5 linked regions of the Oryctolagus cuniculus genome follow. The protein of the gene in region 3 interacts with the protein of the main gene of each other region in a biochemical or structural test. Links are inferred from orthologs where the notes say so. Each region holds a gene or a part of one and is shown on either strand. Other genes may lie near its edges.

The links.
Region 1: the proteins of ARF1 (region 3) and ARFGAP1 form a complex in vitro, tested with the Homo sapiens proteins (2 studies listed by BioGRID, with this or other methods). The link is inferred for Oryctolagus cuniculus from reciprocal best matches to the Homo sapiens genes ARF1 and ARFGAP1.
Region 2: the proteins of ARF1 (region 3) and PLD2 form a complex in vitro, tested with the Homo sapiens proteins (2 studies listed by BioGRID). The link is inferred for Oryctolagus cuniculus from reciprocal best matches to the Homo sapiens genes ARF1 and PLD2.
Region 4: the proteins of ARF1 (region 3) and CYTH2 are reported together in a solved structure, tested with the Homo sapiens proteins (3 studies listed by BioGRID and IntAct, with this or other methods). The link is inferred for Oryctolagus cuniculus from reciprocal best matches to the Homo sapiens genes ARF1 and CYTH2.
Region 5: of the proteins of ARF1 (region 3) and AGAP1, one has a biochemical effect on the other in vitro, tested with the Homo sapiens proteins (2 studies listed by BioGRID, with this or other methods). The link is inferred for Oryctolagus cuniculus from reciprocal best matches to the Homo sapiens genes ARF1 and AGAP1.

Annotation. Positions count from the first base shown.
Region 1 is NC_091442.1:562,064-567,604, reverse strand, and holds part of ARFGAP1 (ADP-ribosylation factor GTPase-activating protein 1), read left to right. Parts: intron 1-566; coding exon 567-623; intron 624-1,141; coding exon 1,142-1,174; intron 1,175-1,752; coding exon 1,753-1,782; intron 1,783-2,303; coding exon 2,304-2,360; intron 2,361-4,009; coding exon 4,010-4,069; intron 4,070-4,617; coding exon 4,618-4,685; intron 4,686-5,128; coding exon 5,129-5,432; 3' UTR 5,433-5,541. UniProt on the Homo sapiens protein: GTPase-activating protein (GAP) for the ADP ribosylation factor 1 (ARF1). Involved in membrane trafficking and /or vesicle transport.
Region 2 is NC_091448.1:51,410,872-51,417,077, forward strand, and holds the start of PLD2 (phospholipase D2), read right to left. Parts: upstream 3,686-6,206; 5' UTR 3,551-3,685; intron 3,099-3,550; coding exon 2,990-3,098; intron 2,900-2,989; coding exon 2,769-2,899; intron 2,678-2,768; coding exon 2,535-2,677; intron 2,171-2,534; coding exon 2,065-2,170; intron 1,976-2,064; coding exon 1,910-1,975; intron 1,816-1,909; coding exon 1,757-1,815; intron 1,632-1,756; coding exon 1,539-1,631; intron 1,450-1,538; coding exon 1,297-1,449; intron 841-1,296; coding exon 691-840; intron 1-690.
Region 3 is NC_091437.1:241,325-245,760, forward strand, and holds part of ARF1 (ADP-ribosylation factor 1), read left to right. Parts: exon of another isoform or gene 1-1,288; intron 1,289-2,976; 5' UTR 2,977-3,012; coding exon 3,013-3,160; intron 3,161-3,274; coding exon 3,275-3,385; intron 3,386-3,538; coding exon 3,539-3,663; intron 3,664-3,800; coding exon 3,801-3,962; 3' UTR 3,963-4,436. UniProt on the Homo sapiens protein: Small GTPase involved in protein trafficking between different compartments. Modulates vesicle budding and uncoating within the Golgi complex. In its GTP-bound form, triggers the recruitment of coatomer proteins to the Golgi membrane.
Region 4 is NC_091449.1:8,592,066-8,598,135, reverse strand, and holds the start of CYTH2 (cytohesin-2), read left to right. Parts: upstream 1-2,515; 5' UTR 2,516-2,531; coding exon 2,532-2,994; intron 2,995-3,248; coding exon 3,249-3,396; intron 3,397-3,497; coding exon 3,498-3,564; intron 3,565-4,343; coding exon 4,344-4,462; intron 4,463-5,036; coding exon 5,037-5,117; intron 5,118-5,756; coding exon 5,757-5,869; intron 5,870-5,966; coding exon 5,967-6,070. UniProt on the Homo sapiens protein: Acts as a guanine-nucleotide exchange factor (GEF). Promotes guanine-nucleotide exchange on ARF1, ARF3 and ARF6. Activates ARF factors through replacement of GDP with GTP.
Region 5 is NC_091434.1:4,210,128-4,216,150, reverse strand, and holds the start of AGAP1 (arf-GAP with GTPase, ANK repeat and PH domain-containing protein 1), read left to right. Parts: upstream 1-2,399; 5' UTR 2,400-2,948; coding exon 2,949-3,822; intron 3,823-6,023. UniProt on the Homo sapiens protein: GTPase-activating protein for ARF1 and, to a lesser extent, ARF5. Directly and specifically regulates the adapter protein 3 (AP-3)-dependent trafficking of proteins in the endosomal-lysosomal system.

The sequences.
Region 1 (5,541 bases), on a different chromosome or scaffold from region 3:
GCGCAGCCGTTCCTCGACGAGGGGAAGGCTTTTTTTTTTTTTTTTTAATTTCTTTTTTATTTATTTGAAAGGCAGAGTTACAGAGAGAGTAAGGAGGGAGCGAGCGAGAGAGAGATCTTCCACTGGTTCACTCCCTAAATGGCTGCAAGGGCACGACTGGGCCAGGCCACAGCCAGGAGCCTCTTCCGGGTCTCCCACATGGGCGCAGGGGCCCAAGCACTTGGGCCACCTTCCACTGCTTTCCCGGGCCACAGCAGAGAGCTGGATGGGAAGTGGAGCAGCCGGGACTGGAACAGGTGCCCACGTGGATGCTGGCATTGCAGGTGGTGGCTTTACCCACCGTGCCACAGTGCCGGCCCAGGGAGGGCTTTTTAGACTAACTCAAAGTGAGGTGCAGAGACGGGCTGCGGGCGGTGAGCAGGTGTGGTCCTCAGAGCCTCACGCGGGGCCTGGCGGTCACACGGGGTTGGGCGGTCATGCGGGGCCTGCCAGTCAGCGGGGCCTGCCAGTCAGCGGGGTCGGGCGGTCACAGTGAGGCGGCCACCTTGCCATTCTGTGCCTCTCAGGGTTGGAGCAGTTTTACCACCGGAGCGAGCAAGTTCGCCTCAGCAGCTAAGGAGGGCGTAAGTACCTGGTGCCGTCTGGCCCTGGCCCTGGGGGCCGGGCTGTGTCGGGACCCCCGGGGCTCACCCCCCACGAGGGCCTCACACCCCCAGCAGAGTGGCCTGCGGCGTTGGCAGCTGCAGCTGCAGGTGCAGTGTCTCCAAGGGTCCGAGACGAGCTGCCTGTGGCGGGGCAGACGTGGCTCACCTGGTGGACAGGCCGTGGGCTCCTGTGTCCCTGAGCCCCAGCCTCTGGCCCTTTCAGAACACGGAGGGGCTGGGTTTTCTCTCACGTCTGCCTGCTCCTGGGTGTGAAGGGGGGATTCGGTCGGGACAGACAGTGACACAGGAGATGAGTGGGTGGGCCCTGAGGGGAAGGCCCAGGGCGCTCGGCCGGCGCGGCCCTGGGAGCCGCTGCTGGTCGAGCTGTGAGAAGCCGGCCCTGGGACGGAGTCGTGGGAGCCCACTGGCAGGAAGCGCAGGCCAGGCCAGGCCAGGCCAGGCCCAGCCGGGACTCACCAGCCCTGTTTCCCTCGCAGGCTACAAAGTTCGGATCCCAGGCCAGTCAGAAGGTAACCGAGGAGCTCTGCCCTGGCGCGTGCTGAGGCCTCCTCACGGCGCCACCGCGTGCTCGGGCGCTGCTGGTTCTTCCAGGGCCCCCCGCCAGACTCGTAGCGGGGAGTCAGGGTGGGGTGGGCCCCTCTGCCTCTGGGCAGGAGCCGCCTCCTCACCGAGCAGGCGAACGGGGCAGGGGGCTCTGCCCCTGGGGTGCAGCTCTGCTGCGGGTGGCGGTGGGGTCCACCATGGCCTTGCTGTTGGTTGGTGACCCCCGTGCGTGACACGTGGTCAGGGCTGGGGCCCAGGGCGCCCGCTGTCCCTGGGGGAGTCTCCAGGCCCTGCAGTTAGGCCGGTCCCTCACGGCCGCTGGCACAGCTCCTCAGGAGGGCTGTCTTCCCGCCATGCTGCCTCCCCGGGTGCTCGCCCAGGTCTGGAAGGCGGGAGCCGGGGGGAGGCCGGGACGCCCTGGCTCGGGGGGGTCTCAGTCCAGCCAAGGGCTGAGATCTGGAGGTGTTCCTGGGCGCTGTGGAAGCTGCGTGTAGCACCTCGCTCTCTCTCTCTCCTAACCTGCCTCCTCGCTGTCTGGGTCGAGTTTTGGGGTCACAGGCAGCAGCCAGAGCCGGTAAAGCCCTGTGCTCGGTGCACGCCGCGCGGTGCATGCTCTTGCCGGCCGCGGAGAATGGCTTCGTCCCCGCTGGCCGCCGAGATGGGGCTGCTGGGAGGTCTCCCTCCGCCCTTGGTGCCCACGGGGAGGTGGCCTGTGCTTCCTGTCACCGTGACGTGGCTCTCCCTAGCAGCGTCTGCCGGAGCCCCGGCCTCTGTCCTCCCTTCTGTCTGGGTGGTCAGGGCCTGGGTCAGGGTGCTCATGGGAGCCCAGTGCGGCCGGTAGGGCGGGAGCGAGGTCAGTTCTGTCCTCAGGTCAGGGCGCCTGGGCCGCCCAGATGTGTCTGTGTAAGCTGAGCCGCCAGCAGCTGTGGGGACAAGCCCGGGGCCCCGCTGCTGTCATGGGGGCCCTTCCTGGGGCGGGCAGCAGCCACGTGCACGTGGGGTGGCCCCTGCTGCCCTCCTCTGTGGCCCTGGGCACGCCGGTCCCACTGCCACCCCCCGTGGGCACCCGTGAGCTCTGCGGCTTCCTTCCCACAGGCCTCTGAGTTGGGCCACAGCCTGAACGAGAACATTCTCCGACCAGCCCAGGAGAAGGTAACGGGGCTGCGGCTGCGGCCGGCGGCCTGTGGGGGAGGGGCGGGGGCTTCTGTGGCCAGGGGCCTCTGCATGAGCCGCCTCCGAGGTCCCGGGCGAGCGCTGGAACCCCTCAGGTCTGGAACTCCGAGACCAAAGTCCTGTAAAAGACGGCTGCTTACGCTTTGGGGTCCCGGTCGGGAGGGGTGGGCACAGCACCCTGGGCCACCCCAGTGGACAAGCAGGTGTTGCCGTGCGTGTCCCCGGCTGGGGCTGGGGCTGGGCGCTGGCGGCTCGTGGCTGAGGGACGTGGCCAAGTAACTCATGGCTGCGTGTGCTCAGGCCCCCACAGGGCCGAGCTCAGAGGTGGTCTCACCCCTCCAGGGGTCTTACAGGCAGGGGGCCGCCTCAGACAGGACCTCCAGCCCAGCTCCCAGGGAGACACTGGCCTCCAGGATCAGTCACCACCGCCCGGGGGAGGCGCATCCTCCCCTCGTGCCCTCACGCACACGGGTCCCAGCCGTCCACGCACATGGCACAGGCTGTCCCAGCCGTCCACGCACACGGCACAGGCTGTCCCAGCTTCCATCATGCACACGGGCGCAGGCTGCCCTCACACACACGGGTCCCAGCTGTCCTCACGCACACGGCACAGGCTGCCCTCACACACATGGGTCCCAGCCGTCCGCGCACACGGCACAGGCTGTCCCAGCTTCCATCACGCACATGGCATAGACTGTCCCAGCCGTCCACGCACACAGGTCCCAGCCGTCCACACACACTGCACAGGCTGTCCCAGCTTCCATCACGCACACGACACAGGCTGTCCCAGCTGTCCACGCACACAGGTCCCAGCCGTCCACGCACACCGCACAGGCTGTCCCAGCTTCCATCATGCACACGGGTGTAGGCTGCCCTCACACACAAGGGTCCCAGCCGTCCGCGCACACGGCACAGGCTGTCCCAGCTTCCATCAAGCACATGGCACAGGCTGTCCCAGCCGTCCACGCACACGGGTCCCAGCCGTCCACACACACGGCACAGGCTGTCCCAGCTGTCCACGCACACGGCGCAGGCTGTCCTCACACACACGGGTCCCAGCTGTCCACGCACACAGCGCAGGCTGTCCTCACACACACAGCGCAGGCTGTCCTCATGCACACTGGCATAGGCTGTCCTCACACACACAGCGCAGGCTGTCCTCACGCACACTGGCTTAGGCTGTCCTCACGCACACGGCGCAGGCTGTCCTCACACACACGGGTCCCAGCCGTCCACGCACACAGCGCAGGCTGTCCTCACGCACACAGCGCAGGCTGTCCTCACGCACACTGGCATAGGCTGTCCTCACGCACACGGCGCAGGCTGTGCCGGGTCCCAGCTGGCCGTCCTGCGCTCTCCGCTGCCCGGTGCTGGTGCCTGCAGCGCCTTCTCCCCCTCCTTGATCTTTTTCCCTCCCTGGGAGTTGTTTTGTTATTCCCGCTTTGAGGGTGTAGGTGGGGGTTTCGGGATCCTGATGTTGCCCTGAGGGAGCCACGGGCCCCTGCTGCCCCTCGTCTGTCACGATGGCGCAGGGCCCCTGGGGACGCGGTGTCCTGATGCTGGCATCGCTGCTGGCCCACAGCCCGCTCCTGGGCGCCTGCTCCAACAGGGACGTTTGCTCCACGCAGGTGAAGGAGGGAAGGATTTTTGATGATGTGTCCAGTGGGGTCTCTCAGTTGGCGTCCAAGGTAGGGCAGCCCCGCCTGGCGTGGGCTCAGCCGAGCCAGTCTCCATATTCCGGGCGCCGCCCTGAGGGCAGGGCCGGCGGCCTCAGCCAGCTGTGGCGGGACCACCGTCCTCGAGGCGGTGCAGGGGGGCAGGGATGTGCCTGTTGCCTCTGGCTTGCGGAATATGGAGACAGCTTGGCCTGGCGGGGACTTGCCAGCCGCTAACCTGTCGCCTCCTCTGCCCTTGCTGCCGTGGCCTTTCCCGTGGTAAGTGCCCACACGCCTGCCACTGCTGCACGGCCTCGGGGTGGTCCTGGAGCTGCTGACTCGCAGGGAGGGCTCTGGGTGGGGCCTGCGCTGTCCCCTGCGTGTGGTGAGCCGGGCGCGAGGTGGCCCTGCCTGGGAGAGCTGTGTCTCCCGGCACGTGTGTGTGTCGTGTGTGACGTTTGACACCCTTACTTCTGAGTCTTGTCTGTGTCTTCGTGGGACCTTGCGATTGTCCATGCGTGTGCTTGCGTGGCACGTGCACCCGTGTGCTTGGAAGGGTCTGACCAGCCCCCCCCCTCCAGGTCCAGGGAGTCAGCAGCAAAGGCTGGAGGGACGTCACCACCTTCTTTTCTGGGAGAGCAGAGGAGAGGTAGGCGGCCCCCGGGCGCCCGGCCGAGGCTCTGGCTGGCGCACTCCCCCCAGCCTCGGGCAGCGGCTGCTCGGCGGCAGACGTTCCCCGTGGCGCAGGCGCGGCCCAGGGCGAGGGCAGGGCCGGGCCTCGCCCCTGCTGCCCCGAGTCACCGTCAGGGTTGGGGTTGGTGGGAAGGCCTGAGGGCTTCTGGGCTTTTCTGTCCTGATCCCCGTAAGAACCCAGCGTTGAGCGCTTTGCTGTCCGAGTGCCGCCCCCGGTGACAGACAGCGGCTGCGGAGGCCTCTGTCCCCTGCCTTCACCTTGTGTTCTGCCCCGGTGTTGGCGGCACAGCACCGCGGGGCGCTGGCCCCTGCTGGGTGGCGCAGGGCTGGGGGTGGGTGGGCCCAGAGCAGCCGGCTGTGAAGTTTTGCGGAAATCACCAGAGCTCCTGCCCCTCGCAGCTCCCAGAACAGCGGTGGGGACGGCGCGCAGGGCAGCGCCCTGGACCAGAGCTTCTGGGAGACCTTCGGCAGCCCCGAGCCCCCCAAGGCCAAGTCCCCGAGCAGCGACAGCTGGACCTGCGCCGACGCCTCGGCCGAGAAGCGGAGCTCGGACAGCTGGGACGTGTGGGGCTCGTCCGCCAGGAACAGCAACAGCGACGGCTGGGAGAGCGGCGAGGGCGCCAGCGGCGAGGGCAGGGCCAAGGCTGCCAAGAAGGCGGTGCCGGCCCCCGCCGAGGAGGACTGGGACAACCAGAACTGGTAGGGCGAGCCGCGGGCGCCCACCATTGTGCACTGTGCCCCGTCCTCCTCCTCCCCTTTGACCCCAGAACCGGTGACTGTCTGGGGGGACGCCGGGCTCGGCACCGCCTGCC
Region 2 (6,206 bases), on a different chromosome or scaffold from region 3:
CCAAGAAAAAAAAATTCTTCCATGACGCCCCAGAGCCAGCGATCAAGTTCACCCTCCTCAGCTCAGCACAGGCTGCTGACTCCCAGCCCCTACTCCGACAGCTGCTCCCTGCTTTGTAGCCATATTCAGGCCTCAAGGATCCCAGACCCGCCAGGCTGTTTCTGTCCACTCTGCCTGCACTGCCCTGCGGCCTCTTCTTTGTCTTGCTAAGCAAGCCTTGAGGTTACTGCCTTCTAGAAGTTTGTCCCCAGGTCCTCACGCTGGGCAGACGCCCCCAGTCTGTGTTCGGTGCCCTGCATCTATCACGATATTTCATGATGGGATTACTTACTTCCCTCAACCATAGAAGCCTGCGTCCCACACATAGCAGGTGCTTAGGAAACCTTTACTAAATGAAGAAATGTACCAGAGAGGTCTGAGATCCCGGAGAGCAGCTCAGGGTGGTAGCGGGGATCTGAAAGGTCGTATGAGGTCAGAGAGATCAGGGGTCAGAGGAGATTACCGAGCCTGGGGGTCAGAAAGGTCAGAGGGGAGTCAGGGGGATCAGTGTGGTTAAAGAGGCTGGAGGTCAGGGAGGGTCACTGAGGTCAGCAGGGGTCAGAGGGATAAGAGAGGACCGAGGACCCACAGAACTCAGGGGGTCAGGAAGGCCACACACACACAGGCTCAGAAGGGACAGCAGGGTCTCACCACCGGGCCAAGGTCCCAGGCCGGGGCGGGGCGAAGCTCTCATGCCGGTGCAGCTGCAGGAAGTCTTTGCCGAGGCCCTGAGCCAGCTCGGTGATCTCCTGGGCCCACCACCGGGCCTGCCGGTAGCTGCCGCACTTGAGAATCAAGGACCTGGAGGGGAACGAGGACGGGGCCAGTGGTCCTGGCCCTTCATACCCTGCCAAGGACCTCCCTGTTTCAGCCTTTTCCTACTTCCTCCCTTAGTCCTTAATCAGGACTCCGTGGGGCCAGGCTACACTTAACTCCTGGCCGGGGCCCAGCAAGCAGCCCTGGCTCAGGCACTCAGGTTCGTCAAATGAGCAAATGAGAAGGGAGCTTCTCTTCCACTGGGAGCACGCCCCCCCCACCCTCCCCCCCACCCCCGCTCCGGCTTACAGGGGCTGCTCTCTCTGGCCCCAGACTGTAAGAGCATCCCAAGCATGTGGCTGGACCAGTTCCCAGGTTCAAAACTACTTGGATCCCAGGCACTGGAAAAGCCTTCCCTTCCTCTCTGCCACAGTCCCCCGGCCCCGCATGAACCCCCCTGAGGGTGGCAGGTTGGGTCCCCTCACCCCGGGGAGCCCTCACCTGTGGGAGGTGTCGATGCGCACCCCATACCGTGCCTCTGTGCTCCTCTTCCCCACCTGTACCTCGAAGCCCGGGTCGAAGAGCTGAACAAAGGAGATGGCGCCGGTCTCCAGGGTCATGTACAGCAGGAAGGAGTCTTTCACTACCAGCCACCTGGACGGAAGGGCTCCGGTTCCTCCCTGCCCGCCAGCTCCCCTTCCTCACCCCCAGCCCCCGCTCAGCTGCTCAGTCCCCACCCCCACCTCTTGGACCAGCGATAACAAACTTGGTCTCTGCCACAGCAGGTGAGGCCAGGGACGCGGTGGCCACCCGAGCGCTTCCGGATCACGCCCTCCCTGTGGGGACAACCAGGAAGAGACGCTGGATGAGGGCTGCAGCCCCCTGCCCGCCCCGTTCTCAGGCGGGAAGGGCTGGGGAGTGAGGGCTGCAGACGGCTGGGGGAGGGGTGTTCCACACTCACAATCCTTTGGAGCCCAGGTCTGGGATAAAGGACAGCTGACTGACTTCCAGGAACTCTGTCTGCAGAGGAAGACGAAAGTGCAGAGGAGCCCCCTGGCCTTTGGTCCCTCGTGGCCCCGTGGACCCAGGCCCATCGTCCCCTCGGGGACCTCACCATGGCGTGGTAGTTGCGGTAGAAGGACATGGTCAAGAGGCGGTTGAGGTAATTCTCCAGGTATTTCTGAAGTGGGAATGGGAAAGAGAAACAGGTGGGACCAGAGCCACGTGCACAGAGGGACGCCTTCCCAGGGAACCAGGTGTCTGCCGCACCTGCTTGCTGGCTGTGTGTCTGCTGGAGCCCTCATGACCTGCTCGGGGTAGAGAGGGCATCTCTCTGTTGGTGGCCTCTCGGGTCACAGAAGAGGGAACAGCGAAGCTGCGGAAGGGATGGGGTGCGGGTCAGGCCCTGTCCCAAGCCTGGTGTGGAGGCGCAGGTGGGGGCAAAGGCACTGGCAGGCTGGGCTGCTGGGGTCTGGGAGGAGGTCAGGGGGCTGGCACAAGGCAGACCTCCCTGTCCTGGGATTGGAGAGGCTGCCAAGGCCACTTTGGGCACCCAGCCCAGCTGAGATGTTGGCACGAAACCGCAGCCAGGGAGAGCTGAGCAGGGCAAGTTTCCTAGTAACCAGGGTCAGGGGAGTTGGGGGCCGGGAGGTGCCTGGGGGTGGGCTGCACAGAAAGGAGCAATGGCTGCCGCGGGTCGAGGGGCGTCTGCCCTCCCCATGCAGCTGGGCTCCCCTCACCGGGCCAGGGGGAGCAGACTCATCAGGACTTTATGTCTCAGGAGGTCCCGGTGCAGCTCCTGGAAATGACGGAACTTCTTCTTGGTCGTCCAGGTAAAGTCACCGTGCGTCAGGCGGACTGAATACAGAGTGCAGGTTCCCACCTGAGGATGTGAGTCGCTGAATCCATGTCCCCTCCCCTCTGGCCAAAGCCACGCCCACCCCACCCCCCCACCCCGGGGCCTGCCTGGCCACCTTGGATCCACTGGTGTATCTTTCGGTGCCCACCACCTGGGCTGTGACAGGGACCCCAGGGGCGAACACCAAGGGGCGCGCTTTCATCGGCTGAAGGTCGTAGATGGCCAGAAAGGGGTGCATCCGGTCAGCTGGGAGGAGACAAAGTCCAAGACTGGAGCCCCCAGGAGGGCCCCAGCCCTCCCCGGCTCCCCTCCCCCGGGGGCCTTGATCCTGAGTACCTGGGTCCTCTCCCTCCCTCAGCGTGTCCACCTCATCCGGCTCCATCTGTAACTGGCTGGAGTCCAGGTCGTCCCCAGAGGAGAAGGGGCTCCTGGGGGTCGCCGTCATCTAGGAATGCGGGGCCGCCTCAGGGGGGCGATCAGCCCTGCAGGTCCCACCCCCCAGCCTCGCACCTGCGCCTCTCACCTCCTCCTGCCCGGCCACCTCCCCGTGACGCGGCTAGAACCTCCATCCCCTACCCCAGGATGCAGGATCCCTCAACTCCGCCCTCTCGCGAACCGGAGCCCCCGGGGTACACCCAACCCAGCCCGGATGTCCCGAACTAGGGCAGCGCAGAAACCAGAGAGCGCGGGGCCAACGCGGCTCGGGCCGGGCCAGGCCGGCCGAGCGCGGGGGTCCCGGCGGGAATGAGGAAGTTGCGCGCTCCTTGCCCGGGAGAAGATTCCTGCAATCTGAGCGTGCGGCTGAGTCAGAGGCCCCCGCCGGTCGCAGCCGGTCTCGTCCCCGCCCGCTCTCCGGGGCGCGACACCCCCGCGGCGCCCCCAGCCCGGCCCCCTCACCCTGGCAGCTCCAGCCGGCGCCCGCGCGGTTTCGCGAGCCGAGGGAAGCGGAGGCGAACGCGAGCCGGAGCCGGTGCCCACACCCCAGCGGGCCGGGGCGGGGCCGGGGCTCGGGCCTGCCCTCGGGGGCGGGACGGGCCCCGGCCTCCCCTCCGCGGGATTCTCGCCTAGCGCGTCCCGCCCCCGCCGCCCTCGCCGCCCTCGGCCCGCCCCGGCCCGGCCCGGCCCGGCCCGGCGAGACCGGGGACCTCCCACCGCCCGGGGGCCGCCTTCGCCCAGCCTGGCTGTGCCCTCGGTCCGAGGGCACCCGGTCGCCACCCAGTGTGCGCTCCAACCGCGCGCGTCCCTCCGCGCTGGCCTCTCCACCAGCTGCGCTGCCTCGGGCCCCAGGCTGGCCGCGCTTCCGCGGGGGCACCTGCAGGTGCCTCCTTTTCCCGGAGAGCGTTTGTAGAAGGAGGGGATGAGGGGAAATGCACCCTTACATTCATTCACCAAACATTTATTGCGCGCCTGCTCCGTGGTAGACTCTGAACTTTTAAACAAGGACAGTCCAGGGAAAATGACATTTTGTTACATTTCTGTTTTTTAAGCTAAGCAGGTTGCTTTATCTACTCCTGATGGACGGTTGGATTGTTTCTAGTTGACTGCTCTGAATAAAACTCCTATAAACATTCCTGTATAAGTCTTTGTGTGGCTTTTATTTCTCTTGAGTAAATAGCAGTAGGGTTTTTGGGTCATATAAGTGTATGTTTAACCTACAAGAAACTGCCAAGTCGTTTTCCACAATTTTCACATTTCCACAAGCTTCAGTAGTTCCAGGTATTCTACAATGGCCAACACGCTAGATTCAATTTTTAAAATATATTATTTATTTGAAAGTCAGAGTTAACAGAGAGGGAGATCCCAGATGGTCTGGGCTGGGCCAGGGGGAAGCCAAGAGCTTCATCAGGGTCTCCCGCGTAGGTGGCACTTGGGCCATCTTCCTTTGCTTTTCCCAGGCCATTAGCAGGGAGCAGAATTCAAAGTGGAGCAGCCAGGACAAGACGTGGCACCCAGATGGGATGGCAGTGTTGCAGGCAGCAGCCTTACCCTCTATGCCACGAAGTCAGGCCCTTGATAGTTAACTTTTTTAAAAGGTTTAATTTATTTGAAAGGCTGAGTGAAATAGCAAGAAGGAGAGATAGATCTTCTATCCACTGGTTCACTCTCCAAATGGCCACAACAGCTAAGACTGGGCCAGGCTCAAGCCAGGAGCCAGGAGATCCATATAGGTCTCCCACATGGATGGCAGGGGCCCAAGCACTTGGGCAGTTACCTGCTGCTTTCCCAGTTGCATTATCAGGGAGCTGGATCAAAAATGAAGCAGTCGGGTTTCTGGGTTATATAAGTGTATGTTTAACCTACATGAAACCGCCAAGTTGTTTTCCACAATCTTCAGTAGTTCCAGATATTCTACAATGGCCAACATGTGAGAGTCAAGTTTTAAAACGTATTTATTTATTTGAAAGTCAGAGTTACAGAGAGAGAGGGAGACCCCAGATGGCCAGGGCTGGGCCAGGGGGAAGCCAAGAGCTTCACCAGGGTCTCCCATGTGGGTGACAGGGGTTGGTGTTGTGGCACAGTAGGTAAAGCTGCTGCCTGCAATGCTGGCATCCCATAGGGGCATCAGTTCAGGTTCTGGCTGTTCCACTTCTGATTCAGCTCCCTGATAATGGCCTGGGAAAGCAGCAGAAGATGGCCCTTGCCACCCATGTGGGAGACCTGGATAAAGCTCCTGCCTCCAGCCTGGCCCATCACTGGCCATTGCAGCCATCTGAGGAGTGAACCAGCAGATGGAAGATTGCAGCCATCTGAGTGAACCAATGGATGGAAGATCTCTCTCTCTCTCTCTCTCTCTCCCCCTTCCTCTCTCCCTCCCTCTCTCTCTCACTCTGTAACTCTTTCAAATAAATGAATAAATCTTTAAAAAAAAATGGAGCAGTTGGGACTCCAACCATCGCTCTGAAATGGGATGTCGGCATTGCACATGGTGGCTAAACCCTCAGTGTCACAATGCAGCTCCATAATGCCAATTTCTAAGATTAGACACTCTATTAAGCATAATGTGTGTATCACTGCAATTTTTTAAAAACTTATTTTTTTGGCCGGCGCCGCGGCTCACTAGGCTAATCCTCCGCCTAGCGGCGCCGGCACACCGGGTTCTAGTCCCGGTCGGGGCGCCGGATTCTGTCCTGGTTGCCCCTCTTCCAGGCCAGCCCTCTGCTGTGGCCAGGGAGTGCAGTGGAGGATGGCCCAGGTGCTTGGGCCCTGCACCCGCATGGGAGACCAGGAAAAGCACCTGGCTCCTGGCTCCTGCCATCGGATCAGCGCAGTGCAACGGCCGCAGCGCGCTGGACGCGGCGGCCATTGGAGGGTGAACCAACGGCAAAGGAAGACCTTTCTCTCTGTCTCTCTCTCTCACTGTCCACTCTGCCTGTCAAAAAAAAAAAAACTTATGTTTTTATTTATTTGAAAGTTACAGAGAGAGGTAGAGACACACAGAGAGGTCTTCCATCCACTGGTTCACTCCCCCAGATGGTTGCAACAGCCAGAGCCAGGAGCCAGGAGCTTCTTCTGGGTCTCCCACGTGAGTGAGGGGCCCAAGGATTTGGGCCAT
Region 3 (4,436 bases):
AGAACCACTTCTCCAAGGAAAAAAGAGAAGCACTGTGGGGAAGGGGCTTGGACCACTGGTTCTCACAAGCCCTGCTGCTCAGGCAGGGTGAGGGTTAGGGCTGAAGAGCAGGCCAGGCCCAGTCCATTGGATTCTGGAGTCACAGGCAGTGTATGTGTATGCAAATAGAATCGTGGATGAGATCCCTGCAGCCTAAGTCCTGGTAGCCCCCTCTTCCTCACCTGCCTCTAGGCTCGACACAAACGATGTGGGCGGGGAGGGCAGGCCTCCTACTGCACAGGTCCTGCCTCCGTGTCCCAGCGTCCAGTGGTGCAGTGACAGTGTTGGGACCGTGAGTGCTGTGTGTGCAGAGTCAAGTTGACGCTGATACAGGCTGCTCTGGGGTGCATTGTAAGGGGACCTCTCCCCTTCCGTTCACCTTTGTCCTCATGTGTTGCTTTTTCCCAGTGCCTCCAGGAGTTGCCAGGCTTAGTGTGAAAATACGTTGCTGCCTGGTGGCATCTCCCTCCTGTGCCATTCTGGACAGGGTCATGAGGAAGGGGCAGTTTGCTGGTTTTTCTTTGTGTTGTGCCCAAAGCCTTCATTTTGAATTTTTCATTTTGGCAATCTCTTGGTTCTCCAAGACTTTGTATAACTTGTTGATGCCAGTGTGGTTTGTGTTTGGTGATTGGGTCGCCCACCCTCCACGCTACTCTTTAAATAGTCTTCCGTTTCTTGTCTTGTGTGTTTTCCTCCAAGTTCTGTTTGTTTGAGGCTTTTCAAAGAGGCGGCAGCTTCACTTTATGGAGGGCCTTCAGGTGCCACAATCCATATGTTTTTTTTTTTTCTTTTTTAAAGATTTATTTATTTATTTGAAAGGCAGAGTTACAGAGAGGCAGATGGAGAGGGAGAGAGGTCTTCCATCCGCTGGTTCACTCCCCAGATGGCCACAATGGCCAGAGCTGTGCTGATCAGGAGCCAGGAGCATCCTCTGAGTCTCCCACGTGGGTTTAGGGGCCCAAAGACTTGGGCCATCTTCCATTGTTTTCCCAGGCCATAGCAGAGAGCTGGATGGGAAGTGGAGCAGCCAGGACTCGAACCGGCAGACATACAGGATGCTGGTACTGCAGGCGGCAGCTTTACCCACTGTGTGTGTGGACAGATCTGTGGGGCCTTAGACCTCTGTTTTCTTCTGGAAGCTCCTTCAGCCCAGTGTTTCTCCCTGCACCCTGCAGGACTGAGGACATGCCCTTGGCCCGGCCCTATCTCCAGTATCCCAGGCACACCAGCCGCCGCTTCTTCCCTCCAGGTGTGTCTAGTCCGCTCATTAGCACAGTAAAGGTTTCCTTACATCTCAAAACTCCTGTGGTTCTTTTTGGATAGATGATGCGGTTCCCAACCAGACAGAACAGCAGTATCCAGGGCACAGACGCCAAGGTGAAGGGGCCCTGCTGTCTGGGGGGCTGGTGGCATCAGATCAGCAAAGGGCACTTGGGCAGGACAGGGAGGCTGTCCTTGTGGGGTGCTCAGCAGCGGCTGGGAGGCTGGTGTTACGACACAGTAGCTAGAGCTGCTGCTTGTGACACTGGCATTCCCTATCAGAGCGCCAGGTTGAGCCCTGGCTGCCCTGCTTCTAATCTAGCTACCTGCTAACACACCTGGGAAAGCAGCAGAAGATGGCCCGCGTGCTTGATGTCCTGCCACCCATGTGGAAGACCAGTATATAAATCTATTTAAAACAAAAACAACCAAAAAAAAAAAAAAAACAGCTGTAATTAAAGACATGTCAGGAGTCTGGCCATCTGAGGTGCAGTGTGTGCCGTGTGTCCAGCTGTCTCCTTCAGAGAGCCTCTGTTGCACACAGGGGCAAGTGCCGTAGGCAGTCCTGGCCTGGGCACTGGAGGGGCATCCCAAAGTACAGAGCCTCAAGGAGTGTGGCGAGGTCTCCAGCAGCAGTTCAGCAGTTAGGCGCCAGGGAGTGTCTGGGCCTTGCCTGCGCTCCTGTTGGAAACTGTGTCCAGTGCAGCAGTGTTGGAAGTGAGGCCTTTTGGGAGGAGCCTAGGTCAAGGTCCTGCCCTTATGAGTTCATTGGTGCCGCTGTGTAGGAGGGCTTGTAGGAGTGGGTTCGTGTCCTCTGAGGTCAGAAGGTGATCCTGACTTCAGTCTCCAGAGCTGTAAGCAGTATCATCTGCTGATGGAGATGCCCAGGCGGTGTCAGGACCCTCTGTCCTGTACCTGCTAGTCAGCACACAGTGAAGGCTGCATTCTTAGAGTGCTTTTTAAATTTGGAGTTAAACTGAAAGTGCCTACTGGGTGGTACGACCAGGGCCCCCTGGGCAGTGCAGTGGCTGGGAAGGTCCTCAGGTGTCTCGGGCTGGGCTCTGATGATTCTGATTCTGTATCCCTGTGTTGGTGTCCTGCTAGTGGACCCTGAGGGCCATGTGTGGGTCAGACATGGTACATGTCCCTATGTGATGCCCAGGGCTTCTTGTCTTGTTCTGTGAGTGCTGCCTGTAGATTGTATGCATAGCTCCTTGGCCTGTGCTCCTGAGACTTGCCGTGGGCAATCTTCTCTGGCCCCGGGGGGTGGGGGGTGGGGGGTGTTGGCTGCTTGTCTGGAGTTTTGTGGGGAAGAGGTGTTAGGTGATGCTGTGTCAGATCCTTCCGCATGCCCTGGGAAGCACGACTTCAGGTGGTGAATGTTCTCCCCGTGCTGCGTGGCCGGGGGAGTCAGGGAGTCCCTTGCAGCATCTCTGCTTTCCTGGATGAGTGGGCTTGGGAACTGCCTCCCGAGATGCCGACATCCCTTTTCCCCAGCCGTGGGGAGCCTGAATGGATAGGTAGGCAGGGTTCCTTTTCTGTTGCTCGTGTCCTGCCCTGTGAATTGAAGCACAGTGATGGGAGGTGTGTGTATCCTCAAGGGATTGGTCCCTAACTGTGCTGCTGGGCCCATGACTCGCCCCACAGAAACAGACCCAGCACCCTTTGTCTTCCCAGGTCTCTGGCTGTTGTAGCTTCCACGTGTGCACGACCATGGGGAATATCTTTGCAAACCTCTTCAAAGGCCTTTTTGGCAAAAAGGAAATGCGCATTCTGATGGTGGGCCTGGATGCTGCAGGGAAGACGACGATTCTGTACAAGCTGAAGCTCGGTGAGATCGTGACCACCATCCCCACCATAGGTGAGAAGCTAGGCCCTGGGCGCAGGTTTGGGGGGAAGCCCAAAGCGGGACTGTGGCTGGGGTCTGGGTTGGGCCCTGGTCTTCCAGGAGACACTTTTGCAACTCTGCTCCCAGGTTTCAACGTGGAGACTGTTGAATACAAGAACATCAGCTTCACCGTGTGGGACGTGGGTGGCCAGGACAAGATTCGGCCACTGTGGCGCCACTACTTCCAGAACACCCAAGGTGAGAGGAGGGCCTGACCTCCAGAGCATGAGTCCAGGGCAGCATGGAGGCCAGGAGGAGCCAAGCCCTGCAGCCACAGTGGCCAGCGGTGACCTTCAGGAGCGGGGTATGTGGGGGTGTTTTTGGCATTGTGTCGTGCCGGCTGTGTTGCAGGCTTGATCTTTGTGGTGGATAGCAATGACAGAGAGCGAGTGAACGAGGCCCGGGAGGAGCTCATGAGGATGCTGGCTGAGGATGAGCTGCGAGACGCAGTCCTCCTGGTGTTTGCCAACAAGCAGGTAGGCAGGCACCCAGCCCAGCCTTCAGGGCTGTGCCCTCAGTGGGGTGGACGGGGAGGGCTTGAGGTAATCTGGGGCTTTTGCTCTGGGGCTGGGCAGTTTTGCAGCCCCTTCTGCTGACTGCTGCTTTTCCCCAGGACCTCCCAAATGCAATGAACGCAGCTGAAATCACAGACAAGCTGGGGCTGCACTCCCTACGCCACAGGAACTGGTACATTCAGGCCACCTGCGCCACCAGCGGGGACGGGCTCTATGAAGGACTGGACTGGCTGTCCAATCAGCTCCGGAACCAGAAGTGAATGAGAATCCCCCTTCCCCACCTCCTCCTCTCCACCCTCCGCTTTCCTCTCATGTGGCAAACGTGCGACTCTGTGGTCCTGAGTGCCAGAAGCTGTCTCCATGGGTGGGTCACAGTGTGCATCGCACCCTGCTGTCCCTGTGCAGACGCAGCCTGCAGCCAGGTTCTTATTTAATGTAAATAGTTTCTGTTTCCACTGAGGCAGTTTCTGGTACTCCTATGCAATATTACTCAGCTTTTTTTTTTTTTTTTTTTTTTAATTGTAAAAAAAAAATCAACTCACTGTTTAGTACTGAGAAGGGATTTGGGCACATTGACACCTGCCCTCCAGGAGTCCGTGGCTGTGTTAAGAGCTAGATGTACCTCTGGGTGTTAGATCTGCTGAGATCCATTTAGTGGTTGGTTTTAATCCGAACTCAGTGCATTTTTAAAAACAGTTTAAAATACAAGATGAGAACACTTGAACACACAGCAG
Region 4 (6,070 bases), on a different chromosome or scaffold from region 3:
TTATATACATAATATAAATACAGATATCTATTTTTTCCCTGGTTCCTGCAGTGGGGTTAGAAATCAGGCTGCAGCCAACTGGAACGCAGTCCAGGAAGTTTCCCGCTAAAGCTCCACCCTGCATCCTCTTACTGTGTGGCGCTGGGCACACGACTCCCACTCCCTGCCTCGGCTCCACCATCTGTGAAAAGCGGTGTTGGAACTTAGTGATTCCTCCCCTCACTGAGGGCGGGGTGGGGGTGTGGATCCCGGTACTGGAGCACCTGGCCTTCCAGGGGTGGCTGGGATGGGAGGTGCCCTTGGAAGCTGTCTCTGAACTCGGGCACCTACATCACTGGGCCATGGGCCAGCGTGGTGATGCGGTGTGTGGAGCTGCCACTCGTGACAACGGCAGTGGAGTGCCAGTTCGAGTCCCGGTCACTCGGCTTTCAATCCAGCTCCCTGCTAATGCACCAAGGAAAGCAGCAGAAGACAGCCCAAGTGCTCGGGCCCCTGCTACCTGTGTGGGAGACTGGGGTGGAGTTCTTGGCTCCTGGTGCAGCCCTGGGCTGTTGCAGCCATCTGGGGAGTGAACCAGCAAGTGGAAGATGGCTCCGTCTCTCACTGTCACCCTGCCTTTCAAATACATAAGTAAAAAGGACATCACAGGGCCAGCAAGGGGTAGTGGAACCATGGCTAATGGCCAAAGCCAGCTAGTCCCTGGCCTAGCTCTAGAATCTGGGCAGGGAGGAAGTAGCTCTGAACACCGGAATCTTCCCGTGGAGGGGAGAGGAAGTGGGTATTGTGCGGGAGATTGTCCCCCAGACTAAGGAACTGGGCACGCTGACGGGGGGTGTCTACAAGTGTTTCTGGGGAGGTCTTAGGCCCGCCCCCATGCTGCCATGTGGCTAATCATCCTGCAGGCTGGGAGCCAGCCGCAGAGGGAGCCAGTGCCAGGGCAGGGAGGAGGCGTCTCCACTCCCGTGCTGCAGGCCGAGGCCAGGCGCTGTCACTGCACAAGTACTGCTCAACCGGCTGTCCCCTTCGGGCTTCCCCGACCCCTTTTATCCTTCAGAATCCCCGTGTAATGACCGGATGGGATTAATTAGCTGGCCGCTCTCACAGCTCGCGGTGTCTGGGGAAGGGGCAGGGGACAATGGAGTCTCAAGGGGTGGGGGAGGATGTTAAGTTGGGGTGCAGTGACGAGGAGGGATTCGGTTTGGAAGGACAGAATGGGGGCAAAGCCGACACACGCCGTTCTCTGGCCGGGTAGGACAGGACCCGGGCCGCTCATAAAGGTCAGTGAGGGGATTAAAAGGCTCCATGTCTAATCCAACGGCTTAACCAGGTCCTGGCCCCGAATCCGTCCCCGCCCGCCCAGCCCAGGGACGGCAAATGAGGTGAGGCCCAGAGACTTCAGTCCCCGTGGTCTGACCACTCACAGGGGCTCGGCGGTTCTGTCCAGGCGGGACCTGCGCACCTGCCACCCCCGGCCGGGGCTGTGGAACGGGAGGGCCTGGGGCGCGGGGGGAGTCTGAGAGGGTCGGGGTGGGGGATGCCTGAACAGAGCAGAGCCGGAGTCGGGGGAGAGAAAGCAGAGAGGCGGCAGAGAAAAGAGAAAGAGGTAGAGACTCGGAGGGAGGATGCTACGCTAAGGGGAGGGGCTTAGGAAAGAGGGCGGAGCCGGTGCTGTCCCTAACGTCCCATTCTGCGTGACCGGTACCCGGGAGTGTAGCATTTGACAGAACTCCATTTCACTACGTCCTGACCCTGAAGCGGCTGGAGTGGTCATGTGGGGCGTTAAGGGAAGGGTCTGCACGTAGCAAGGGAGACGCGAGGCAAAAGGCCGGCGAAGCCGCTCATGGTTGCGCGGCAACCGCGGCGGTCCAAAGCCAGCGTGGCCGGCCGGGAGGTGTGGCTCACGGCCTAGGCCCCGCCCCCTAGCAACAGGACTAACAAAGTAACGCCCCCTGGCAACGTGCTGAGAGGCGGGGCTCGACTGACCCAGACTCCGCGCGCCCCGAGTCCTTGCGCAGGCTCAGTGTTCTCCGCTCGCGCACAGCCCCACCTCCTCACAACGCCTTTGCGAGGCTTCTCATTGGTGGACAGGCTTGCCAAGGGCATTCTTTTGTTTCGGGGGCGGGGCCTGGCGCCCTGCCCGCACCCCGATTGGGCCCCCTGGCTGTCTACCTCCGGCCGGACATGCCTAACACCTGTTTCTTGTGTGCCTATTGGCCTGGGCGGACTGTCCTTTGGCGTCGGGGGGCGGTGCAGCCCGGAGGGGTCGCCGCGGATTGGGCGGTGTCAAGACGAGGGGCGGTCCCTACCGGCCGGGCGGTTGGGCGACGAAGGGAGAGTCTTTTCAGCGCTGAGGACTGGCGCTGAGGAGGCGGCGGTGGCTCCCGGGGCGTTTGAGCGGGCTCACCCGAGCCCGCGGGCCAGCGCGGATCCAGGCCCGACTGGCGGGACCGCCCCGGACTCCCCGCGGGCCTTCCTCGCCGCCATGGAGGACGGCGTCTACGGTAGGCCGGAGGGGCGGGGCCGTGGAGCGGATGGAGCGTTCCCTGGCGAACGCCCCGCCGCCGGCGTTCGCGCCCGGCGCCCGCCGCCCGGGGTCCTCGGCGCCGCCGTCGCCGCCGCGCTGGCCGGGGCGCCGGGCGGGCTTCCGGCGGGGTCCGCGAGCGCGGGGCGTTCCGGGCCATTGTCTGGGCCGAGCCCGTTTCCGGCGTCGGCGGGAGGGGGCGGGATGGCGCGGCGGAGGCGAGGCCGGGGCGGAACCATTCCCGCCGGAGGGGCCGGGCGAGCCCAGCGGCGGGCGGGGAGGGGAGGCCGTGGGGGCTGCCGGGTCCGCCGAGGCCCGGCCGCGCCGTCCCGACTCCGCGGGCTGCCGTCGGCTTCTCCTGCCGTGGTCACTTCCCTTGGACCCAGGGCTTCCGAAGACCCAGGCCCATCTTCCCCCGGGCCCCCCGGCCGCCGCGCCAGTAATGGAATCAGAACACCACGGCCGCTTTCCAAGTAATGGACCCGGAGGCCGAGGCTCCCACGCGGGTTCCCCCTCAGACTCTGGGGGCCGGGCCCTAAGCCCCCCCGCCCCCCCCGGGACTCCCGGCCTCAGCCCTGGCCTGAGCGGTCCAGGCTGCTAGTGCCCCCTTCATCCGAGGCAGGCGCCTCACCTGCGTCCTGCCCCAGCCCCGTCTCGCCCCACGTTGCAAGCATGCAGGCTCCCGGCCCCAGGGCTGACCCTCGGCACCCCGACCCCGGCCCCGCAGAACCCCCAGACCTGACGCCGGAGGAGCGGATGGAGCTGGAGAACATCCGACGGCGGAAGCAGGAGCTGCTCGTGGAGATCCAGCGCCTGCGGGAGGAGCTCAGCGAGGCCATGAGCGAGGTGGAGGGGCTGGAGGCCAACGAGGGCAGGTGAGGGCCGGGCCCGGGGCGGGCGGCCCGAGCCAGGCCGGCCCAGGACGCCAGGCCTGACCCTGGGCCGCCGCCCCCGCCCTGCTTCGTGTCCCCTGCAGTAAGACCTTGCAGCGGAACCGGAAGATGGCAATGGGCAGGAAGAAGTTCAACATGGACCCCAAGAAGGTACCGGGGGCCAAGGGCTGGGTGCTGCCGGGGGGCGGGGGGTTGTAGCAGGTTTGTCCCCAGTCCCTGGACTCAGCTACTGGCTGTCCGCTTGCGCTGTGAGCCCTGAGCAGTCCAACCTCTGGGGAGGCGCCAGACACCAGGCTGTGGACAGCCAAACGGGGAGCCTGGGGGGCTGCCCCGAGGAGGAGACCAGGTTAGGTTTGGAGGATGGAGAGGCGTTCACCAGTTGGAGGAAAGACTTTTTTAAAAGGGGGAAAGAGAGGGAGGGAGGTCCCAACAGCCAGGGCTGGGCCAGGTCAAAGCCAGGAGCTTCTTCCGGGTCTCACGCACAGGTGCAGGGGCCCAAGGACGTGGCCATGATCTGCTGCCTTCCCGGCACGTTAGCAGGCGGGTGGCTTGGAAGTGGAGCAGCCGGGACGCGCACGCTGGCCCAGCATTGCTCACCCAGTCGTTCATTTAACACCCGTTTTCCAGTGCCTCCCGAGGGCCCGACCCTGTGCCGGGCGGAGCTGGGGACCCAGGGAGGAGAGGCCCTGGACACAGACCCACCGCCCAGAACGAGCTGTAGCTGCAGCGTAGGGGCTGCACGGCCAAGAGGGCGCCGAGGAGCCTCCAGGCCGCCTGGGGCTCGGTGTCCACCACTGCTGCCCACTGACACCGTCACTCAGCAAGCAGGTGTTCAGCGTGGACCTAGCCAGGCAGGGACAGGGAGGCTGAGGTCCAGGCACCTGTGACGGCCTGGCCCCGGGCACTGAGAGCCCGCTCTCGCCCGCCAGGGGATCCAGTTCTTGGTGGAGAATGAACTTCTGCAGAATACCCCCGAGGAGATCGCCCGCTTCCTGTACAAGGGTGAGGGGCTGAACAAGACAGCCATCGGGGACTACCTGGGGGAGAGGTGAGCCCCTTCATGCCTGCCGGCCTCGCTCCCTGGGCAGGGCCCCTGCACACTGGCCCTCGGACCGGACTGCTGCGGAGTGTGTGTGTCTGGGTGTGGGCGGCCTGCCAGCGCCCAAGACGGGGGTCCCCTTATAGAGAGCATCCAGGAGCATCACGGGAGTGGGAGAACCAGGCATGGGCTGCAGGTGTGCGTGGGAGCTGTCTGGCCAGCCAGGGAGTGTGGGGACGCGTGGCAGGCCCCTAGGGAGCACGGACCCCGTGGACATCTAGGCGATGTGCAGCTGGGTGATGGCTGGGGAGCATGTGGCTGGCGGGGGGCATTGGCAGGCCTTCATGGCCACTGGGGTGCACGTCTAGGGGCCAGGGCACCGTGTCCACATCTGGGGAGTGTGGGGTCGTCTGAGGGGGCAGGAGGTGGCGTGGGTGGTGGGTGCGAGTCTCCCAGCAACGGTGCAGCTAAACTTGAGCAGCCCTGCCGTGGGGCCAGGCGGGAAGCCGCGTTCCCTGCCGAGGGCCAGCTGCCCCAGTGCCCCCTGTGCGTTCCTGTGTGTGTGACTGTCCTGTGCTCGCAGGGAGGAGCTGAACCTGGCCGTGCTCCATGCTTTTGTGGATCTGCATGAGTTCACCGACCTCAATCTGGTGCAGGCCCTCAGGTGAGGGGAGGGGTCGGGGGGGCAGAAAGTCACTTTCCTTAGTCCGGAGTGGTGAGCCCCACCCCACACAAAACTAGGGAGTTGATTGCTTCTTGTAATGCCAAAGTCCATGAGTGAGCCTCCTCCAGGCACGGCCGTATCCAGGCGCCCTCTTCGCTCGTCGTGTTGGCATTGAGCTTCTTGACCTTCCTACGTGGCACCAGAAGCCCGTAGCAACCACCAGACCTGTTTAGAAACCTCAGAAGAAGTATTTTTAATTTTCATTTTATTCGAAAGGCAGAGAGAGACCTAGGCAGAACAGCCAGGGTTGGGCCACGCTGAAGCCAGAAGCCCAGAGCTCCATTCGGTCTCCATGTGGGTGGCGGGGCCCAGGTACTTGAGCCGCCAGCTGCTCCCTCCCAGGGTGTGCGTTGGCGGGAAGCCGGGGAGCAGGGACTGGAACAGGATGCGGGCGTCCAGGCAGCGCCCCAGGGGCCAGAGCTGCACTGGCAGTGCCCCCCGGTCAGACCGGGTCACGGGCCCCTCCCTGAGACGCAGGCGGAGGCCTGGCCGCTTGGGTCTCTCGCTGGCCGGTCCCTCCCACGGCTCCGGGGGAGGGGCTCCTGCTGGTCCTGGCGCCCACACCCGCCCCGCCCCCAGGCAGTTTCTGTGGAGCTTTCGCCTCCCTGGGGAGGCCCAGAAGATTGACCGAATGATGGAGGCCTTTGCCCAGCGCTACTGCCTGTGCAATCCTGGCGTCTTCCAGTCCACAGGTGAGGGTGCAGGCCCCTGGGGCGGCGGGGCCGGGGGCGGGGCCGGGGGCGGGGCCGGGGCCAGGCGGTCACCGCCTCCCCTGGCCACCCGCCGCAGACACCTGCTACGTGCTGTCCTTCGCGGTGATCATGCTGAACACCAGCCTGCACAACCCCAACGTGCGCGACAAGCCGGGCCTCGAGCGCTTCGTGGCCATGAAC
Region 5 (6,023 bases), on a different chromosome or scaffold from region 3:
GGTGGCCGGGAGACCGGGAGGGTGCCGTGCGGAGCTCTGCAGGGCCGCCCCTCCCCGCTGCCTCCACGCTGCCTGTGTCTCAGACGCACGGCTGTGGACCAGGCGCCCCCGTCCTGAAGTGCAGCGCAGTGTTAAAGCTGCGTGGCTTCTTGCACACAGTGGGATGGTGGGTTCCGGTGCCACCTCTGCCTCCTGCAGAGCTGTCTGGCCACACTGCTGAGTGTCCGCTTCTCACCTTGCGTGTCCAGACGACCTTTGAGCGCTGTGCAGCTGCGGCTGTGACATGTTCGACTCCTGCCAGGTCCTCGTGGTACTCTTGGGTGAGACGGAACGCCGGGCACCGCGGCCCTCTTTGGGGTGGCTTGCCCCCTTTCAGTCGTTACGGTAACAGCACCCAGCCTTGGAGGACTGGCACCCCGCCTTGTCGCTGTGCAGCCTGAGTGTATATTGAACGAATAAACGAACCGGTGGGAGAATGAAGAAATGAGTGAGCGCCGGCTCGGGGCGCCGTGTCCAGGTGGCGTGGCCCACTGACGGGTGTCACTTCAGGAGGGCTCACCCGTCTGCTCGCTGTAACATCCAGAAAGCAGGGTGCTTCCCACGGCAAGAGACACAGCATCGGAAGGCAGGTGTGGGCCTGGACAGTGTGAACTGCATGCCCCAGGGAGGGGCCACCCTCTGAGACTGAGCATCCCCTGACAGGGTGGCCCCTAGAAATGTTCCCAGGGCCTGTGCTGTGGCGTAGCAGGGCACGCCTCTGCCTGCAGTGCCAGCATCCCGTATGGGCACAGGTTCGAGTCCTGGCCACTCCACTTCTGATCCAGCTCCCTGCTGACGGCCTGGGAAAGTAGCACAGGATGGCCCAAGTGCTTGGGCCCCTGCACCCACGTGGGACACCCTGAGGAAGCTCCTGGCTTCGGATCCCCTCAGCTCTGGCCACTGCTGCCACTTGGGGAGTGAACCAGCAGGTAGAAGATCTCTCTTTCTCTGCCCCTGCCTCTCTCTAATTCTGCCTTTCAAATAAATAAATAAATCTTAAGAAAGTAAATAAATAAATAAATAATAAGTAAAAAAAATAAAAATAAATAAATCGCCCCATCTCAATTAAAAAAAAAAAAAAACAAGCAAACCACCCAGCAGTCTTTCTGGTTTATTTCATTGTCTGAACATGTAATTTCACCTGGGTAATGTTCCAGATTTGCTAGACTCTGACTTCTTTCAGCAGAGAGCCTACCTGCTTATCTTTCTGTTGCTTTCAGCGTCAGGAACAGAGTGGAGCCCCCGAGTGGTTGCTAACACAGTAGAGTGGGGTCACCGGCACCTGGTTTTTGCCTGCACATCACTAGCCCGTGCCGAGGCACTGCTTCGGCAGTCCCGGGCCTGGAGAAGCATCTGGTTTGATTGGCAGACTTTGTATTTGTCATGCTTCTCGTCTGAAACGCACATGCATGTCAGGACAGCATGGGGAACGCCGTGTTGACCAGGCACGTGTGACAGGCGTCCTCCCTGCATCCGATGTTCCCTGGGCCCAGTGTCTCGTGGGCGGATCTGATGGACGAGAAGCTCAACTTTTTAAGTAATCAAGGCTGGGCTGGGGCTGGGGCTGGGGCTGGGGCTGGGGCTGGGCCGGGGGCTGGGGCTGGGGCTGGGGGGCACAGCACGCTCAGCCTCTGCTTGTGAAGCCAGCGTCCCATGACGGAGTGTCAGTTCCCGTCCCGCCTGCTCCACTTCCACCCAGCTCTCTGCTATGGCCTGGGACAGCAACAGAAGATGGCCCAACTGCTTGGGCCCCTGCCACCCGCGTGGAAGACCTGGATGGAGTTCCCGGCTCCTGGTTGTTGCGGCAAATGGAGGATCTGTCTCTGTCTGAGACGGATGATATAGATCGATGCCCAGCGCAGAGTGTTACAAACCACACAGCCCTCCCTGCGGTGGTCAGAGTTCAGCAGCTCTTGTCTGCCTCCCCACTTTACAGGTGGACATCCTAGGTGGCCCCACCTGGCCTGGACAGGCAGGCCCTTCCTCCTGCCCCTCCCCACACACTGGGTCTCCTCCTCCTCCCTGGTTCTTGTCTTCCCGGGAGCCGGTACGAAAGAGAACCTTTGTGCTCCAACAAGTCCTAGCGTGGTCTGGTCTGCAGAGCTGCGTGCTGAGAGCGCCGCCCTGAGCCCACAGCAGGAGAGCGGCCCCTCCTTTGTCCTGTGCCCAGCCCTGGGTCGCGCGTCCCCTTAGGACAGGGCCAGCGCCGGCGCCGCGAAGCTCCGGTCCGCGCACTCGCGATCCAGCCCGGCGCTTGGGCACGCCGCGCTCGCCGCCGCCGCCGCCGCGCTCCCGAGCTCTGCCGGCTGCGCTGGGCGCGCGCGGCCCGCGGCCCCGCACGTCGGCCCCCGCCCCGCCCCGGCGCGCATTTCCATTTTAAACCGCCGCCCGCCCGCCCCTCGACCGCGGCCGGCGCAGCTGCCCGCGCGGCCCGGGCCCCGGGAGTGGCGGAGGCTGCCGAGTCGCCGAACGGAGCAGAAAAGGCCCGGAGATGCCCCGGAGATGCGAGCGGGCCCCGCGCCATAGACAATGAAGCCGCGGGCGCCGCCGCCCGCCCCAGGCCCTGCGCGTCTCGGCCGCACCTGCCGGCGAGGCCGTAGCCGCGCCTGACCGCCCGCCCGCCCGCCCGCCCGCCACCGCGCCCCGCCGGCCCATGGCTCAGCGCCCCGGGCCCGGACCCCCGCACTCGGGTCGCGCTGCGCACGGGCCGGCGGGCGCCAGGGGCGCCGTACCCGCAGCCTGAGCGCGGCCGCCTCTGCGCGGGGGGGCGTGGGCCCCGCTCCTGGCCCTCCCGCCGGCCCCCAGCACCTCTCCCGGGGACCCTCCTACCGACCGCCCATCGCTGCCCGCGAGCGCTCTGGCTGCCGCAGGGCCCCGGCGGGCGGCGCGACGGCCGCGGCCGGGGCACCATGTACCTGCTGGACAGCAGCGGCGAGCCCGCGTCGCCGCCCGCGGACGCGATGCCTCGCGGGACGCCCCCCAGGAAGACGGTCTACCGCATCTCCGTGACCATGGTCAGGAAGGAGCAGCTGGCCGCGTCCGGCCCCGACCCGCGCCCTGCTCGGCGGCCCCGGCCCCCGCGCTCCCCGGACGCGCCTGGGCGGCTCGTGGAGGAGGCCGAGGAGGCGGCGGGCGCTGAGGACTCCGAGGACCGCGAGCCGCGCGCCTGGGACTTGCGCACTTTCCGGACCCGCAGCACCGGGCAGCTGGAGCTGGGGCGGCTCCGGCCGTGCGCTCGCGGCCCGGACCCGGTGGACCTGGCCGGCGGCGGCCCTCCGGCTGCGGAGGAGGGTCCCAGCAGCCCCGACCTGGAGGGGGCCCGGGCCGCGCCCCTGCGGCGGAGCCTCAGTTTCAGGCACTGGAGCGGCCCGGAGGAGAGCCCGCCCCTGGGCGTCGGGAGGCGCCACGGCAGCTCCGGGAGCCTGACCTGGGATGCGGGCGACGGGGCCGCCGCGCAGCCGGCGTCGGAGAAGCGCAACACCCTGGACGTGGGCGAGGTGCTCAACAAGGGCGACGCGCGCTCGGACGCGGAGCGCTGGGAGTGCAGCAAGAGCAAGAACCGCACGCTGGACAACAGCGACCTGCAGCGGCTGGAGCGCGCGCGGGCCGCCGCCGCCGGCCCCGGCGCGGCCTCGGAGCGCCGGCTGCTGCGCTTCTTCAGCGGCATCTTCGCGCGCAGGGACGGCGCCGCGCGCCAGCGGGGTTATTTCAGCAGCCTGCGGCGGGCCCCCGCCGACGTGCACTCGTCCAGCGCCGAGAGCATCGGCGGGTCCCCGCGCAGAGGTGGGCAGCTGGGCCCTGGGCGCGCGAGGCGGGGGGGAGTGGCGGGAACGGACCTGGTCCCGCTCCGGCGCGGAGCAGCCGTGGGCCCTGCCTTGCCGGGTCAGGAGCCCCACGTAGACTGACACACTGCGGTTTTTCCCTAGCAGTCTTGCAGCATTCTGGAAGTTAATGAGTGCCGCCGCGGCTGTGTGTGTGTGTGTGTGTGTGGTCTTTGGGGGTCTGACCTGGACAGGGATCCCCTTGTCCAGCTCAGCCTTCTCCCTAAGCAGGCAGGGAGCTGGCTACCTGCAGCACGTCTGGTACCTGTGGCCTCCAGGGAGCCGTGCTTGGCTTGCGCAGCCTGGGGCGCAGGTGCAGCTGCCTGGCAGGAGAAATCAGCATTGGTCTTGGTTTATCCTGTGCCCCCCACCCCCACCCCCAGCCTGCAGTCTGGGCTCCCTGTCAGTGCTACCATCTGTGAGTGTTGTGCCGTGGGCTCAGCTGATTGGGCGGTTCTCACCTGCTGAGAGTTCCCGGCAGGGGTAGGGCAGGAGTGGAGGGTGGGGGTCCTTCTTGCTGCCAGCAGGTGTCTTGATGGGGAGAGGGCTTCGCCCTCCCCATCCTCCTGGGCAGGGTCCTGTTTCCCAGTAGGGCGCTCTGGCAAGCATCTCAGGTCTCTGATGGGACTTCTGGGGAGTGCCTCTTGCAGGAGTCAGTTAATTGCTAGCATTTGGGGGCCAGAAGCCTCCAGAGACTGCAAAACACAGATCCCGTCTGTGGTACTCGGAAGGGGTGTGGCTGGATGGTTGCACCCTGCTCACGTGGGCTGGGCATATGCCTTGACATCCCCTTATCATTAATCATATCCCTCATCCTAATGACCGGAGCCCACTGCTGGCAGAGAAAAGGTAGCTGGCAGGCTGCAGCGTGGCTTTTTTAAAAAATTATTCACGCTTGTATCCACTGGGCCACTCCCCAAATACCCACAACCCCTGGGCCTGGGCCAGACAAGCCAGGCCAAAGCCTGGAACTCAGGCCAGGTTTCCCACGTGAGTGGCAGGGGCCCAGCAACCTCAGCCTTCACCTCCGCCTCCCGGGGACTGGCAGGAAGCTGAAGTCGGGAGCCAGAGCGGGGCATGGAACCCAGGCACTCTGAGATAGGATGCGGGAATCCTGCCTGGACCTCAGCCCGTGGGCTGGGTGCCCACCGGTGGAGCGTGGCCTTTGCAGTAGTAGCTGTCAGCTTGGTGCCTCCTGGAGAAGTGGCTGTCGCAGGTTAGCTGCCCGCCCTAGGGAGTCGGCACAGAGGGGTCCCCGCGGTCGCTCGGGTACCCTGTAGGCAGAAGGGCCCTGTTCCCTTAGCTTCTGGTGACCCTCAGGGGCAAGAGGATGCCGGAGGTGTGGCAGGTGCGGTCTCCACGGGGGGAGTGTGGCCTGCCATCCCTGCCTGATTTGAACCTGCCTGGGGGCACTTCCTGTCTGACAGCAGCTGCTAGCCCACCCCTGCCTGGTCCTCTTACATATTAGGAAAGGGTGGGGGTTCTGGTTGGTGCTCCCCTGCCACGCACGGCCTTGGTTGGGTTCCGAAGTCTCACCTCTGAAAGGCTCGGCCCTCCCTCTAATAGCAGGCCTGCCGCTTTGTTCTTGTGGACTTCAGAACACATGGTAATTAGCTGCCTGGGTTCCAGACAGTCTCCCTCGGGGCGGGGTGGGGGTGGGGGTGCACAGACACGGCTTAGAACCGCACGGTGCCTATTGATACAAGCCAAAAGCCTTTGAGGTCTGAGTATTTCCCCTCTGTCAAATGGGCTGGTAGATTGAGAACAGTCGAGGTGTGAAGCCTGTTGGGATGTTTCCCTGTAGGGCAGCGGTAGTAATAATTACAGTAAGCCTGCGATGGTGATGGCTTGTCCCTGGTGGCCTGGTGGCCGGTCCTTCTGGGGTGGAATTACTTTGGCCTGAGATGTAATGACACTGCTAGGGTTGTGGGTTGCATCGAAAACCCGATTTTAATGAACTCGTTAAACACACAGGTGAGAACTCGGGGCCGTGCTTTGTTCTGAAGATCTAAGTGCCTGGTTTTTTCCCTCTTTTTAAAGTTGTACTTTTCATCTGGATGATTTTTTTTTTTTTTGCGTTTGGCTAAAAGGTGTGAATTACCATTGTTTGCGAGACTTGGGCAAGGCCAGTATCTGCTCCGGATAAACGGACCAAGCCCCCTC